Linked DNA regions of Callithrix jacchus. The main gene of each other region encodes a partner of the protein of the gene in region 2 in a complex. Links are inferred from orthologs where the notes say so. Each region holds a gene or a part of one and is shown on either strand. Other genes may lie near its edges.

What was found. Proteins that work in one complex are often made in the same cells at the same time.
Region 1: the proteins of ATP8B1 (region 2) and TMEM30A are in contact, whole or in part, in a cryo-EM structure (PDB 7VGI), measured with the Homo sapiens proteins. The link is inferred for Callithrix jacchus from reciprocal best matches to the Homo sapiens genes ATP8B1 and TMEM30A. Residues at the interface, in NP_001361314.1 of Homo sapiens: Thr138, His359, Trp362, Glu363, Val366, Ser369, Ser370, Trp371, Tyr372, Leu373, Tyr374, Asp375, Gly376, Arg384, Ile388, Phe418, Asn420, Trp421, Asp422, Leu423, Tyr426, Lys430, Asp431, Thr432, Pro433, His939, Trp942, Arg946, Tyr968, Phe971; in NP_060717.1 of Homo sapiens: Lys24, Thr25, Arg26, Arg27, Pro28, Asn30, Phe33, Lys34, Gln35, Gln36, Arg37, Leu38, Pro39, Ala40, Trp41, Gln42, Pro43, Ile44, Leu45, Thr46, Ala47, Val50, Phe54, Ile57, Phe61, Ile64, Ile68, Ile75, Phe119, Tyr121.
Region 3: the proteins of ATP8B1 (region 2) and TMEM30B are in contact, whole or in part, in a cryo-EM structure (PDB 7VGH), measured with the Homo sapiens proteins. The link is inferred for Callithrix jacchus from reciprocal best matches to the Homo sapiens genes ATP8B1 and TMEM30B. Residues at the interface, in NP_001361314.1 of Homo sapiens: Trp362, Val366, Ser369, Ser370, Trp371, Tyr372, Leu373, Tyr374, Asp375, Gly376, Phe418, Trp421, Asp422, Leu423, Tyr426, Asp431, Pro433, His939, Trp942, Arg946, Tyr968, Phe971, Asn972, Gly973, Ser975, Ala976, Gln977, Leu1003, Gln1005, Phe1049; in NP_001017970.1 of Homo sapiens: Gly9, Ala10, His11, Gln12, Pro13, Asn15, Phe18, Thr19, Gln20, Gln21, Arg22, Leu23, Pro24, Ala25, Trp26, Gln27, Pro28, Leu30, Ser31, Ala32, Ala35, Leu38, Phe39, Phe46, Leu49, Leu53, Tyr109, Tyr111, Asn116, Phe117.

What each region holds. Positions count from the first base shown.
Region 1 is NC_133505.1:80,494,995-80,499,124, reverse strand, and holds the start of TMEM30A (cell cycle control protein 50A), read left to right. Parts: upstream 1-1,330; 5' UTR 1,331-1,381; coding exon 1,382-1,912; intron 1,913-4,130. UniProt on the Homo sapiens protein: Accessory component of a P4-ATPase flippase complex which catalyzes the hydrolysis of ATP coupled to the transport of aminophospholipids from the outer to the inner leaflet of various membranes and ensures the maintenance of asymmetric distribution of phospholipids.
Region 2 is NC_133514.1:100,856,236-100,860,240, reverse strand, and holds the start of ATP8B1 (phospholipid-transporting ATPase IC), read left to right. Parts: upstream 1-1,205; 5' UTR 1,206-1,568; intron 1,569-4,005. UniProt on the Homo sapiens protein: Catalytic component of a P4-ATPase flippase complex which catalyzes the hydrolysis of ATP coupled to the transport of phospholipids, in particular phosphatidylcholines (PC), from the outer to the inner leaflet of the plasma membrane.
Region 3 is NC_133509.1:95,984,254-95,988,455, reverse strand, and holds the start of TMEM30B (cell cycle control protein 50B), read left to right. Parts: upstream 1-1,402; 5' UTR 1,403-1,598; coding exon 1,599-2,660; 3' UTR 2,661-4,202. UniProt on the Homo sapiens protein: Accessory component of a P4-ATPase flippase complex which catalyzes the hydrolysis of ATP coupled to the transport of aminophospholipids from the outer to the inner leaflet of various membranes and ensures the maintenance of asymmetric distribution of phospholipids.

The sequences.
Region 1 (4,130 bases), on a different chromosome or scaffold from region 2:
TGCGACTTGTGGTCATTTTGAAAAAAAATTTAACTGTAAATTTTTTTTTTCTTTTTTTTGAGATGGAGTTTCGCTCTTGTTGCTCAGGTTGGAGTACAATGGTGGATGTCAGCTCACTGCAACCTCCGCCTCCTGGGTTCAAGCGATTCTCCTGCTTCAGCCTCCTAAGTAACTGAGATTACAGGCACGGCCACCATGCCCGGCTAATTTTGTATTTTTAGTAAAGACGGGGTTTACCATGTTGGCCAGGCAGGTCTCGAACTTCTGACCTTTGGTGATCTACCTCGCTTCGGCCTACCAAAGTGCTGGTATACAGGTATGAGCCACGGAGCCCGGCTTAAATGTAAATTATGAGGACCAAGCACTCTTTAGTTTCTCTTTCCTCAGTTTACCTTCTTTAAGGCATTATTGCAGACTAAGCCTTAAAAAAAAAAAAACTTTAGTTATTTGTTTTCAAATGATGTGACTTACTCTCTGGTCTGGATTTCAAAGATGTGAGTATAATGCGGATTGTATAAAATTATTTAAATTTTACAAATAACATACGCCTATTATAGAAATTCTGGAAAATACAGAAAAGTGCAAAGAACAGAAAAAAAAAAAAAAATCCTCCACCCGGTCAATTGAAGTCACCATTATTCACTTTTTAGTTGGGCCCTATATTATACTTCTACGGTTGCTACACTACTCTAGTATCCTGACTTTGTCACCTTTTATGTCATGAGCATTTCCTTGGGTCATTAAATACTAGGCACTTTTAAAGTGTTTACGAAGTATCTCATTTTGCAGTAATGCTATATGTTCGGGTTTTTATAACAGCAAAAGAAAAAGCTACAGCGTATTACAAAACACTTTATCAATGCGCAAAAGAAAAGAAAAGGAAAAGTAAGGTGAAAATCATCAATGGAGAAACATGAGAATCGCTTAATTAGCGGCAAGATAATAGAGCTAAGGTCACATTATTGCTTCTTGACTTTAGGACAAAAGGGGTACACGTCACTCACCTCTGTTACAAGTTTCTATTTGCACCGTGAATGGCGATTTATTTAATTAGATAAAGTCGCGGTTTTACAACCTAAGCAAATACTGCTAGGTTGCTAGTCCTCCGCCGACTCAATCCCTCTTGAGGCGGCCTTGTAAATGCTCCGACTCCTTCAAAGAAAGCCTCGAGGTATAAAGAAAAAGCTGTCCAGCAATCCAGACCTACTGTAGCCACGATACCCATAGTAACAGACAGGTGTTTGCGAACAAAAGCCACGGATAAGAGCGAAGTTGCGCCTACAGCGCAGGCGCGGATTCTCCGTCGTTCCAGGGCCACGCATGCGCCAACGTAGCTTCACGCCCCAGTGATGGAGCCCCATTCTTTGGCGTCACAGGACAGATGATCAGGGTACGTCCGCCTTTTCCTTCCCCCATCTATCCACCTCCCCTTGTCCCTCCATCTTCTCCCTCCTTCCTCTCTCCCTCCCACTGGCGTCTCCAGCTGACTTTCGCTTCCTATCAGCGGCCTTCGGCGGAAGAGTGTCCCACCTCTTCCGCTCCACGGCGGCGGCGACTGAGGTGGTGGCGCTGGCGGCGGCGACGGCGGCGGCGCTCGAGCGGCTCCTGTCAGGGTCAGCAGGCGGACCCCTTTGGTGGTCCACCTGCGCGTCGCGGAGCGGCGCCCCGGGGACCGATGGCGATGAACTATAACGCGAAGGATGAAGTGGACGGTGGGCCCCCTTGTGCTCCGGGGGGCACCGCGAAGACCCGGAGACCGGATAACACGGCCTTCAAACAGCAACGGCTGCCTGCTTGGCAGCCCATCCTCACGGCTGGCACGGTGCTACCTATTTTCTTCATCATCGGCCTCATCTTCATCCCCATTGGCATTGGAATCTTCGTCACCTCCAACAATATCCGCGAGATCGAGGTGAGGGGAGGGAGCTGTGTTGGGAGTTGGCGTTGCTCGGAAGGAGGGTCCTACGCGCCCGCCCCGCTCTTCTCAGCTCCTGAAGGGTGACAAGCGGTCCCCGCGCCGCCCTCCACCCCCCGCCCCCTTCCTCTGGTTTCTTCCTCTTTCTACGGGTTTCCTGAATTTGCAGGTTTGTCCTAGCTTTGTCTTGCTTGCGATTTACGCTGAGACGCAATGAATGTTTAATGCAGAAGATGGGTCAGGTGAAGAAATGCTTCTTCAGTGGGCGGTTTGTGTAGTTCCTTGGGGGGTTAGGGGGTTGTTCATGGAGGTAAAAAGAGAAGTGGGAGTGGATGCAGTTGTAGCTAGGTAGATGTAACTCTGAGGGAATTGACAGGGTCAAAGTGTCATTACCTTTGTGGGGATGATCCCAAGACAGAGCTTAACACCTTGGCCATTGTTGGGAAAAGAACCAGAGTCATAGAGGTGTTGACGACTCCAATGTAAAGAAGCTGTCGCATGTTATTAGGTCACATATGAAAACTTATGACAAATGCTCATAGTACTTTTCGTTTTGAACTAATTCGATATGTTAGTTGTGGGGCAAGATATACATAAAAGATAACCTGAAATTTCAATTTCGGTTTTGCTTTTAGGTTACATTTATTAATGTGCCCTACATGTGCTATAGTTGTTTTGTTTTGCTTTGGTAGATTTTAAACTTTACAAAAAGAGCCAGTGACCACACTCAGGGAATACGTTGTGCACTGCCTACTAAACATTTTACTGATATTAACTTGCTGAGTATGTAAGACAGGACAGGACAACTTGTATTGGGTAAACATTTCGCTGTCAGAGAAGCACAGTATCTTTATTCATCTGCAGGGGTGAAGATGGTTGACAGTGCACTGTATTAATATATACTGTATAGGTGTCCAGTATTAAGCATCTCTCATCTTTTCTTGCTTATCTGAGAATTTTTTTTTCTAAATCTGTTTGAAAGGGCAGGAACTAGTGCCAAGTTCTCTTGATTCCTTCTGTTTTATATATATATTATACACACACACACACACACACACACATTTTAATAAATATTACTTATGTATGTGATTTAATGGGAGTTTGAGAGTAATTTTATTTTTAACTACTATAATAGTGATGGGGTTCCAGTTTAATTTGCAGTGTTATCTGTAAAAGCAAGATTGATGTATTTTTTAATTCTACAGTGCCTACTTACTTAGGCGTTAATAAGTGATAACATTATTAAGAATACTATCTATAGCATAACTAGTTTTAAAGTTTTTTTTACTAAAAATTCATTCTCAATTTAATAACTAAAAGTGTTTCAGTGTGTTTTTTTAGCATGTATTTTAGTTTATCACTTTAATCTCCCTAATAATCCTGCAAATGTAGTACTTATTGTTCTAACCACATAAGGATCACACATTACGTTAGGATATGAGCAAAGTGGTGTCATGTGAGGAACATGGGCATTGGCTGGGGTCAGACAGAGCTGGTTTTAAATTCAAGCTCTGCTACTAACCAGCTCAGTTTCTTGGAAAATTTCCTTAAACTCTCTGAGCTTCAGTTTCCTGCACAAAAGGTAGAATAATTCATGACTTCTAAGGTGTGAGAATTAGAAGCAATGTAAATAAGATGTCTGGCACTAAGGATCTGTCTCCTGATCCTTAATCAAAAGATGAGAAATATAGAGAGGTTAAGATTTGACAGTAAACTAGTTAAGAGTAAGATGTCTTGATTCCCAGTTTTAAGCTTTCACCCTACACTAAGATCCTTACTGCGATGTTAGTAAAGTGGAAGAAAATAATTTAACGTCAGAAATTTGAATGATTTTATTTAAACTTCTTAACATATTAAGATGAAAATAGCAGTAATTTGGAATTGTATATAAATTAGTATTCTCAGAACTCAACTTCCATTAATATTTAATACAGTATAAAAGTAAATATTTAACTTTCCTTAAAATTTTACTCAGTTTTGGAATAAAGTAAGATTCTTCACATTAAGTAGATGAAATAGAAATTTTTTAAATAGATCTCATGTGTTCTGATCTCAAGTTGCCTCAAGAGTCTGCTGTAGTTTAGTCTGGTTAAAAGGGCACCGAAGAGTCAAGGAATTCAGATTGAAATCCCAGCTCTGTCATTCTGTAGTTTGTGATCTTAAGTATAATTTTGAGTCCAATTTCTTTACTTGAAGAACCAAAAGATTCAAATTA
Region 2 (4,005 bases):
GGGGCTTACCACTGCACTGCCAGCAGAATGATACCCAGCCTCACCAACAGGCTCCATGTTCTCTTGCGTCCCTACCTTTGTTCTGTCGTTAGCTTCGGAAAATGAGTGCTGAAAGAGACCATCTGGTCCAATCTCACCTTACAAATGAGGAAACTGAGGCACGGACAGATTTGAGTGACTGACCAGCACCCAGTCAGAGATCAAGTTTGACTCATGAAAAGGAAGCCCAGAGCAGACTTGGGGTTGGTATCAGACAAGATCCAACCAGTTGGTCACCCGTTGAATACCCTCTGATCCCTAAAGTTATGAATCATTGAGTCCCATCAGGCATGGTCTCCTGTCGGAAGCCTCTGTGACGACCCAGTTGGGAGTCTGGACGTGAGCCTCTAGGTGACTGGGAATCTGTCTAGGAGTCCTGGCTCCCCTAGCATTTTAAGCAAACTCTAATCTTTGACTTTTCTCTATTCTCATCCCAAAGACTCGGTCCCTAGTAGGGGAGTGGTAAAAGTCTACCCTAGGAGGGTAAAGTCTGTACTGCCTGGGAGGCGCGATTCACCCACTCAGACAGCAGCCAGCAACTAGGCGCTGAGTCCAGAGTTTCCACCTACACCGCGTAGTTCACGTGCGGCACCTTAACTCCTTTTGACGCCAAATCCCAAAAACTTGAGGGCGTTTGGACTCGGCAGAAAGCCTGCTGGCGGCAATTACAGGACACGTTTCTCGAAGCCTTGAGGCGCGGTCTCTTTCTTCACCCTCCGCGCGGCGAACCTTGACGCGCATTCGGTGACCGGTCCCCAAACGTGACTTGGCATCAAGAGGACACAGCTCCCCTTACCGAGGGAGCTCAGGTCCCGGGCGCGCCGCGGCCCCGCCAGCTTTCCGGGCTGGCGCAGTCCTCGACCCGGGGCGACGGCCAAGCCAGCGAGGGCGGCGGGAAAGTGACGCTGGGCTGGAGAGGCGGGGTGGCGAGTGCTGCCCCGAGGGAACCGAGAGCGGCCTCAGCAGCCGGGTCTCAGGCTGGGCGAGGCAAGGGGGTCGCAGGCTGGGCTCGGAATACTGCCGGGGGTGCCCATCTGACTCCAGGACGCACGGAGGGCGTGGGGCAGGGGCTGGATCTGGGCCCGCCCTGGGTCTTGCCGTCCAGCCCCTCTCCGCCCTGGGGAGGGAAGAAGGGAGGGGAGAAGCCCGGGTCCGCCCCCAGCCTCAGCCCTGCCGAGGCTCTGCGGCGGCGGCGGCTGCTGGAGGGAGACGAGAGCACCTCCCGGAGCGGAGAAACCAGTTTGGCCGGTCCCGCCGTGCGGAGGGAGAAGGGCGGCTGCAGAGGAAGGGTGCACGGACGCGGGGCGGGGGAAGGCGGAGGAGCCACTGGCGAGCCGCGAGAGCCTGAGGTGCCGCCGCCAACTGGACACGCTTCCTGGGGCCCCCGGCCAGCCCCCGTGCGCCATGCAGCGCTAGCGCAGCGGCCGGGGCTGGGGCTGGGCGGGTGGTGGCAGTGGCCAGGTGCGCAGCGAGCGTTCGGAGCGGCGCACACCCGGTGGATGCCCCAGCCGGGGCCCAGCGAGCGCCAGGTAAGCAGAGGCTCGGCGCCGGGGCCCCCGACCTCCCCAAGCCCGCTGGCCGGGCAGGGTCCTGCAGGTCCCCTGGCGGCTCCCGCCGCTCTTTGGAGATCCTAGATGAGGTGGCAGCAGCTGTCCGCGCCCTCGGGCTCCCGAGCCCGCACAGGTGGCATTTGGGCGGAGGTGCTAGAAGCCCCCCGTGGCCTCGGGGTCGGCGACGCAAGGCCAGCTGGGCAGGCAGCGCTGCGGAGAGGTCTATGGAGTTTTCACCTGCCTGGAGGAGGAAACTCTCGGGGAGTGTTTGGGTTCTTCGATGGCTAGCTACACACTGTCCGGGGGTTAAGCCAGGCAGGGCTTGCGGCTCCTTGGGGGGTGCCGCTGGTTTCGGTGCGGTGGCCAGCGCCCCTCTGGGAGTCCCCGGTAACCGGCTTCTGCTGGGGCGCTCTTTGGGAGCAGATGCCAAGGTGTCCGAAAAGGACTTGGGGACCAAATGTATCTGACGGCGGCCCACCTGTCGGGAGGGATGGAGGGGTGAGATGGATCTCCTCCCCAGCTCCTGCTGCAGGACTGGGTACGCCCCAGACGTCTTCCGAGCGCTTTATTGTGGGATGGGAGGGGAGGTGATGGGGAAGAGAAACACTGTTTTTCCGGTGACTCTCGGGTCGTGTCCGCCGGCCCCGCTGAGATGGCTGCAGGCATCTCCTTCCCTCGCCAGTTTGATGCCCGACGCTGTCACCTCGCTGTGTGCACGCGGAGGGACAACTTGTTAGGGGGCTCGAGGAGATGTTTCAGGGCATGGCCCAGTGCTTTAACACCCCCCCAACCCCCACTTCTCCTTCTCCCCAAAGTACAAGAAAAGTCCTGAAGTGTCCGCCCAATTTTTACGAGGGAGGCGTGTGCGTGCAGTCCCTGCCGGGGTGGTGGGGGCGGGGGGAGGCTCGGAGCGCAGATCGGTGGCAGCTGTACGGGAGAGACTGGGATGCAGTACAATGCAAAACGGGGAGGAGGGTTGACACGCAAAAGAGGGACTTGGGCCGCGTTTCTGCCCAGTGAGTCCCGGCTCAACCCGACCCGACCCGACCCCCTTGGCCTGCACGCGCGGCCCGTGGGGGGCTGCAAGCCTTTCCTGGGTAGCTCCGGACGCCACCGAGTTCCTCTCCGGGAAACTGGTCTGCCTATTGGCGGGAGAAAAGATTAGCTCCCATCTTCCTGGTTGCATTGCCTTCAAAATTCTACCCCTACCCATGGGAAATTAAAAAAGAAAACACTAGTGGGATGTTTGGCGAACACCCGGCACACAGTAGGTTATCGAGGAAGGTTAACTACTTTCAGGAACAAGAGCTAAGAAAACGACGCGTGATAAAGCCTCCAGGGATAGTGAATGCGAGCCCATATCAATGGGGGACACAGCAGCAAATGTGAAGTAGAAGGCTAACTTTCACCGGCTAAGACATACTTTTGTGTTAAGCCTAAGATGCCATTCATTAATTCTGGGCCTACTGTTGAAGGTTTTATTAAATCCTATTATAAATGGATAGACTGTGCACAAGATGATTAATGCTTATTAGCTGATTACTTTCTGGGGAGAAGTCAGCCTGCCTGCAATTAACTCCTCCGAATTCTCTTAATGATTTTCATTATGTAGTAGAGCTTCCCTTGCTATAATTTTGGGGAAGAATATTAACCACTTTGTTCATTTGGCATTTTCCAGTGGCTGTATTTTAGCAACTTTTAGTGATTCTTTGGGTGGGTTATTTAGGGCCGAACAAGACTCCGTGGTTAATACTGTCCAACACAGATGCCACTTGTGTGAGCTCAGCTCTCTGGCTCCTTTCAAGGTTTTTTCTGGGTTTTAAGGAACGTACACACCTGCGTGCACTTGTTATTACATCTTAGTGATAGAACTGGGAGAGCTGTTGTTTTGTTTGTTTAATAGAGGTTTTAAAATAATGATTTGGTAAAGCAAATGGCTTCGTAAAAAGGAGACTTCAGTAGTAAGGCAAGTTCAGAATTGATTCCACGTTTAATCTGGTTTTCAGTCTAGGGGATCTTAGCTCTAATGGAGTCACTACCAGATCTGGCTGTAGAATATTCCTTTCCTTTCCTTCTGTCTATTCCTCTTTCTTCTTTCTTTCCCTTCATTTTGAAGCAAGGAGTAGTGGAAAACATATGGATTTAGATGTCCACAGATTTCAGTTCTTTTACTTGCTAATTGTATAAGCTTAAGTGAATTCTTAAATTTTCTGAACCCCTGTTTGCTCTTCTGTTGAGGGGGGAAGATATTATCAATCTCTTTGGATTGTTGAAAGAATTGAACTAGAGAACATATGAATGTTCTTTATACATAGTAGGTGTTTGAATGTTGGTTTCTTTCTTTATTAGACTGCTATCTAAAAATACTATTATTGCATGTATCTGCTGTATTTTTAATATTTTCTTGCCCCTGTAA
Region 3 (4,202 bases), on a different chromosome or scaffold from region 2:
CCATTATTTAAAACGGTATTACTTTTTAATTTTAGTGTGACTTATAAAGTGCAATTTGATAATTACATGCTATGATTAATAACTACTATTGGCTGTTTTGATTGTTTCTTACTCCTAATATGTCCCCTATCAGACTGCAAATGCCTTGAGGTCAAGATTCTTTTTTGTCTAATTAGCATAGGACTGAACACTTACTTGGGAGATGCAAACAAAATTCGTGTTGTTCAATTTAACAAGCATTTTAACTTTCCAAGTTTCAATGGGTTTTGAATGACTTCTGGATACAATATATTACACTAGATGTAGTGTAATAGAGAAAACATTTGTATTACTTGCATTTTACAAGCTGGAAGAGAAGCAAGAACATAATACCTAGATAAGACTTAGTAAGAAATCAGAATGTCCCAGTACTCCCTTGTATGTGTTATACCAACTTAGATTTAAAAAGAAAAAAAATAATAAAAAAGCCAGAATCCCAGGCAACGTAGGGAGCCAATTTGAGTTCTTTTTAATAATAAATCCTATAAACCCTTGTAGTTCACCTCCTTAGGCCAGACACTCCAGATGTCTTTGAGGATAGCAGCTAGGTCTTCTGGGACCCTGGATTGGACCTTTTTCTAGTCAGGCAAATATTCTGAAAAGAAAAAGAAATCACATGTAGTCCAGCATATTTTTCTCCTTTCTTGGTTTCTACACTAGCTAGAGAGTTATTTAAAGGCTCTGAACCTCTCCAGTCTTTGATTCTTTTTAAGGATCATTTTATTTTTAGAGAACTTTCCACATTTCCTAGTTATACAGCCAGACTGGGTGATCTGGCCAGAAAATCATTTTCCCTTTAAAAAAAAAAAAAAAAAAAAAAAAGCTAAAATTTGAACGCAGGCCTTGAATTCGAAACAGATCTAGCATAGTGTAATTCCCTGGACACTCCAACTTGAGACTGAAAGCTGAACAAAAGGCGTTTCTGAAGCTAACCTTAAAGACAAAATGGTCTAGAGTCACCTTTTCCCCGCAAATAAAGCAGGATTAACAATCTGAAATCTTCAAGCTGCCAGGACCTCGGTGCTAGCCCTCAGCAAAAATTTCTGCTGGAGGCCGGAGCGCCTTTTGATTTCGGGAGACTGGCCCAGGAACTCTAGTCACTTGGAAGGCGGAAAGGAAGGTGATACTCGAGCCAGGTATGAGCCACTCAGAGGCACCCGGGACCGCCACTCACCTCGGAGAGGAGGAGCTGGAGTCCGTTGACCCGGACGGAGAGGAAAGGCGAGCCTGAGTCTACCGGGTAAGGTAAAAAAATAACACACCCACAAGCTCACCTCGGAAAGGGCGGGCGAGGTTTGGCTCCCGGTGATCCGCGGGGGCGGAGCACACCTGGGCCAAGGCGGAACTGGGGGGAGGGGAGGGTGGGCACTGCCCGTGGGACCTGGAACTAAACTCACCTGTGCGGGAGGCAGAGGCGAGGCTCGGGCAAAACCCCACCTGGGCCGGCGGGAAACCCAGTCCGTGAGCAATCCCCCGGCTAACTCGCCGCGGAGGGGGAGGCGCCCCGCGGCGGGCCCCCCCCTGGTAAGCACGCTCGTCGGACTCCCAGCGTGGCCGCCATGACCTGGAGCGCCACGGCCCGGGGCGCCCACCAGCCGGACAACACCGCCTTCACGCAGCAGCGCCTCCCCGCCTGGCAGCCGCTGCTGTCGGCCAGCATCGCGCTGCCGCTCTTCTTCTGCGCGGGCCTGGCCTTCATCGGCCTGGGCCTGGGCCTCTACTACTCCTCCAACGGCATCAAGGAGCTGGAGTACGACTACACCGGCGACCAGGGCACCGGCAACTGCTCGGTGTGCTCCGCGGCCGGCGAGGGCCGCGCGCCGCCGCCCCCCTGCTCGTGCGCCTGGTACTTCTCGCTGCCCGAGCTTTTCCAGGGCCCCGTCTACCTCTACTACGAGCTGACCAACTTCTACCAGAACAACCGGCGCTACGGCGTGTCCCGCGACGACGAGCAGCTGAGCGGAATGCCCAGCGCGCTGCGCCACCCGGCCAACGAGTGCGCCCCCTACCAGCGCAGCGCAGCCGGCCTGCCCATCGCGCCCTGCGGCGCCATCGCCAACAGCCTCTTCAACGACTCCTTCTCGCTGTGGCACCAGCGCCAGTCTGGCGGGCCCTACGTCGAGGTGCCGCTCGACCGCTCCGGCATCGCCTGGTGGACTGACTACCACGTCAAGTTCCGCAACCCGCCGCTGGTAAACGGCAGCCTGGCGCTGGCCTTCCAAGGCACGGTGCCTCCGCCCAACTGGCGCCGGCCGGTCTACGAGCTCAGCCCCGACCCCAACAACACCGGCTTCATCAACCAGGACTTCGTGGTGTGGATGCGCACGGCGGCGCTGCCCACGTTTCGCAAGCTGTACGCGCGCATCCGCCAGGGCAACTACTCTGCCGGGCTGCCGCGGGGCGCCTACCGCGTCAATATTACCTACAACTACCCGGTGCGCGCGTTCGGCGGCCACAAGCTCCTCATCTTCAGCAGCATCTCGTGGATGGGCGGCAAGAACCCCTTCCTGGGCATCGCGTACCTGGTCGTCGGCTCCCTCTGCATCCTCACTGGCTTTGTCATGCTGGTCGTCTACATTCGCTACCAGGACCAGGACGATGATGACGACGACGACGAGTGATTCCAGCTTTCTAGGGACCCTTCCTGCTTCTTGCCAAAACTCTTGCGAGCTTCTTTTGGCATCTCCCCCTCGCCCCTCATCCGATTCCAACCTCACCTCGCTTTTCCTCCCTTTGTGAATGAGGGGACCAGAGAAAGGAATTACCCCCTTGCCCTTGTGGGGCTTGCTAGCCTGTCTTGCTGTGGGGAGGGATGTTGACTACAGAGTAAAACATCCATGCAAATTCTCCCCACCTCCTTCATGACACCGAGTTGCCGTGTTAGGTTCTTCAATCTGAGAGTGGAAGGGATCCCTATGAAGACTCCTGTTCAACCCCTATTAGAGAAAGAGATTGAGAGACCTAGCAATGTGAAGTAACTAAGATCAGGCAACTGGCAAATGACTGCTGACTCTTGAGTCCAGAGCTTTTGTCACTACAGCACAGTGGTGGTGTTCTTTTCTTTTTGGAGAGAGGGTTGGAATGGAGAGTGAGGCCCACACATGACCTGAAGAGACATGGAGGCGAGAGAGAGAATACACTTGTTAAATATGCAGCTAGATTAGGAGACACCCAACTAGAGATTCAGACACAGTAAGGCTGGGGTGACACCCTCGAAGCTGTGTTTTAACAAACTCCTCTGGAGATACCCATTTTCTCTCAAATTTGGGAATCACGACCCTAAACCAGGTTGGGCAGTCACCTGAGTTCACTTTTTCCGATAGCAGTTTGTTCCCAGGGGCAGTGACAACCATGATATTCCAGGTTTGGTCTGGCACTCTGCCTTGAATGTAGGAAGCTCTTGATGACTTGAATGAATTTTTAAAAAATCACTATCTGGGGAAAACTAGTTGGCATACAGATTTGTAAGTCAGGGTTTATGTTATTCATTTGATATTTCAGTATAAAATTCAGGTACTGTGCAGAAACTTGGAAATGTGAGACCAGTTTGTACAGTTCAGAGGAAATGCTTTACATAGTAATCAGATAGCTGGAAGAGATCTTTGAGGGAGAGTAATTTCCCTAAAGTCACATCTATGTCTCCTAGCTCATTCTTCTTTGTCATTTAATTGTGTGTGTGTGCGTGTGTGTGTGTGTGTGTGTGATTAGAAAGGGCTTCATTCAAATCTTTTTCCTTGGATCTGGAAAAAAAATTTATGTTTTCAAATGAAATCTGTTGATGTCTAGTAATCATATTTCAATCAAGGCAAAGGCATATATAGTCTTATATGTAAACTAGAATCAAGATTATTTGAATCTTTGAGATGACATTAAAACTCAACTAAAAGCATTCAGCTGATTTTGTTGATTGACTAACATCAGTCAATATGGTTAAAGTTATTCCAAGGAGCAATAGCTTTATTTAAAAAAAAAAAAAAAACCTTGTATGGCAAAAGGGAAAAAAGCCCTTTGTGATATCATCTTACCAGTTTATTTGCTAAAAGCAAACAATTATTTGGTATTTGTCAGAATCCTTCAGTGCCTGCTATTACAGCTATTTTCCAGTTACTACTCATTTGATTATACTCATTCACTTAAGGCAGTGCAAGATCTTGAAGTACTTT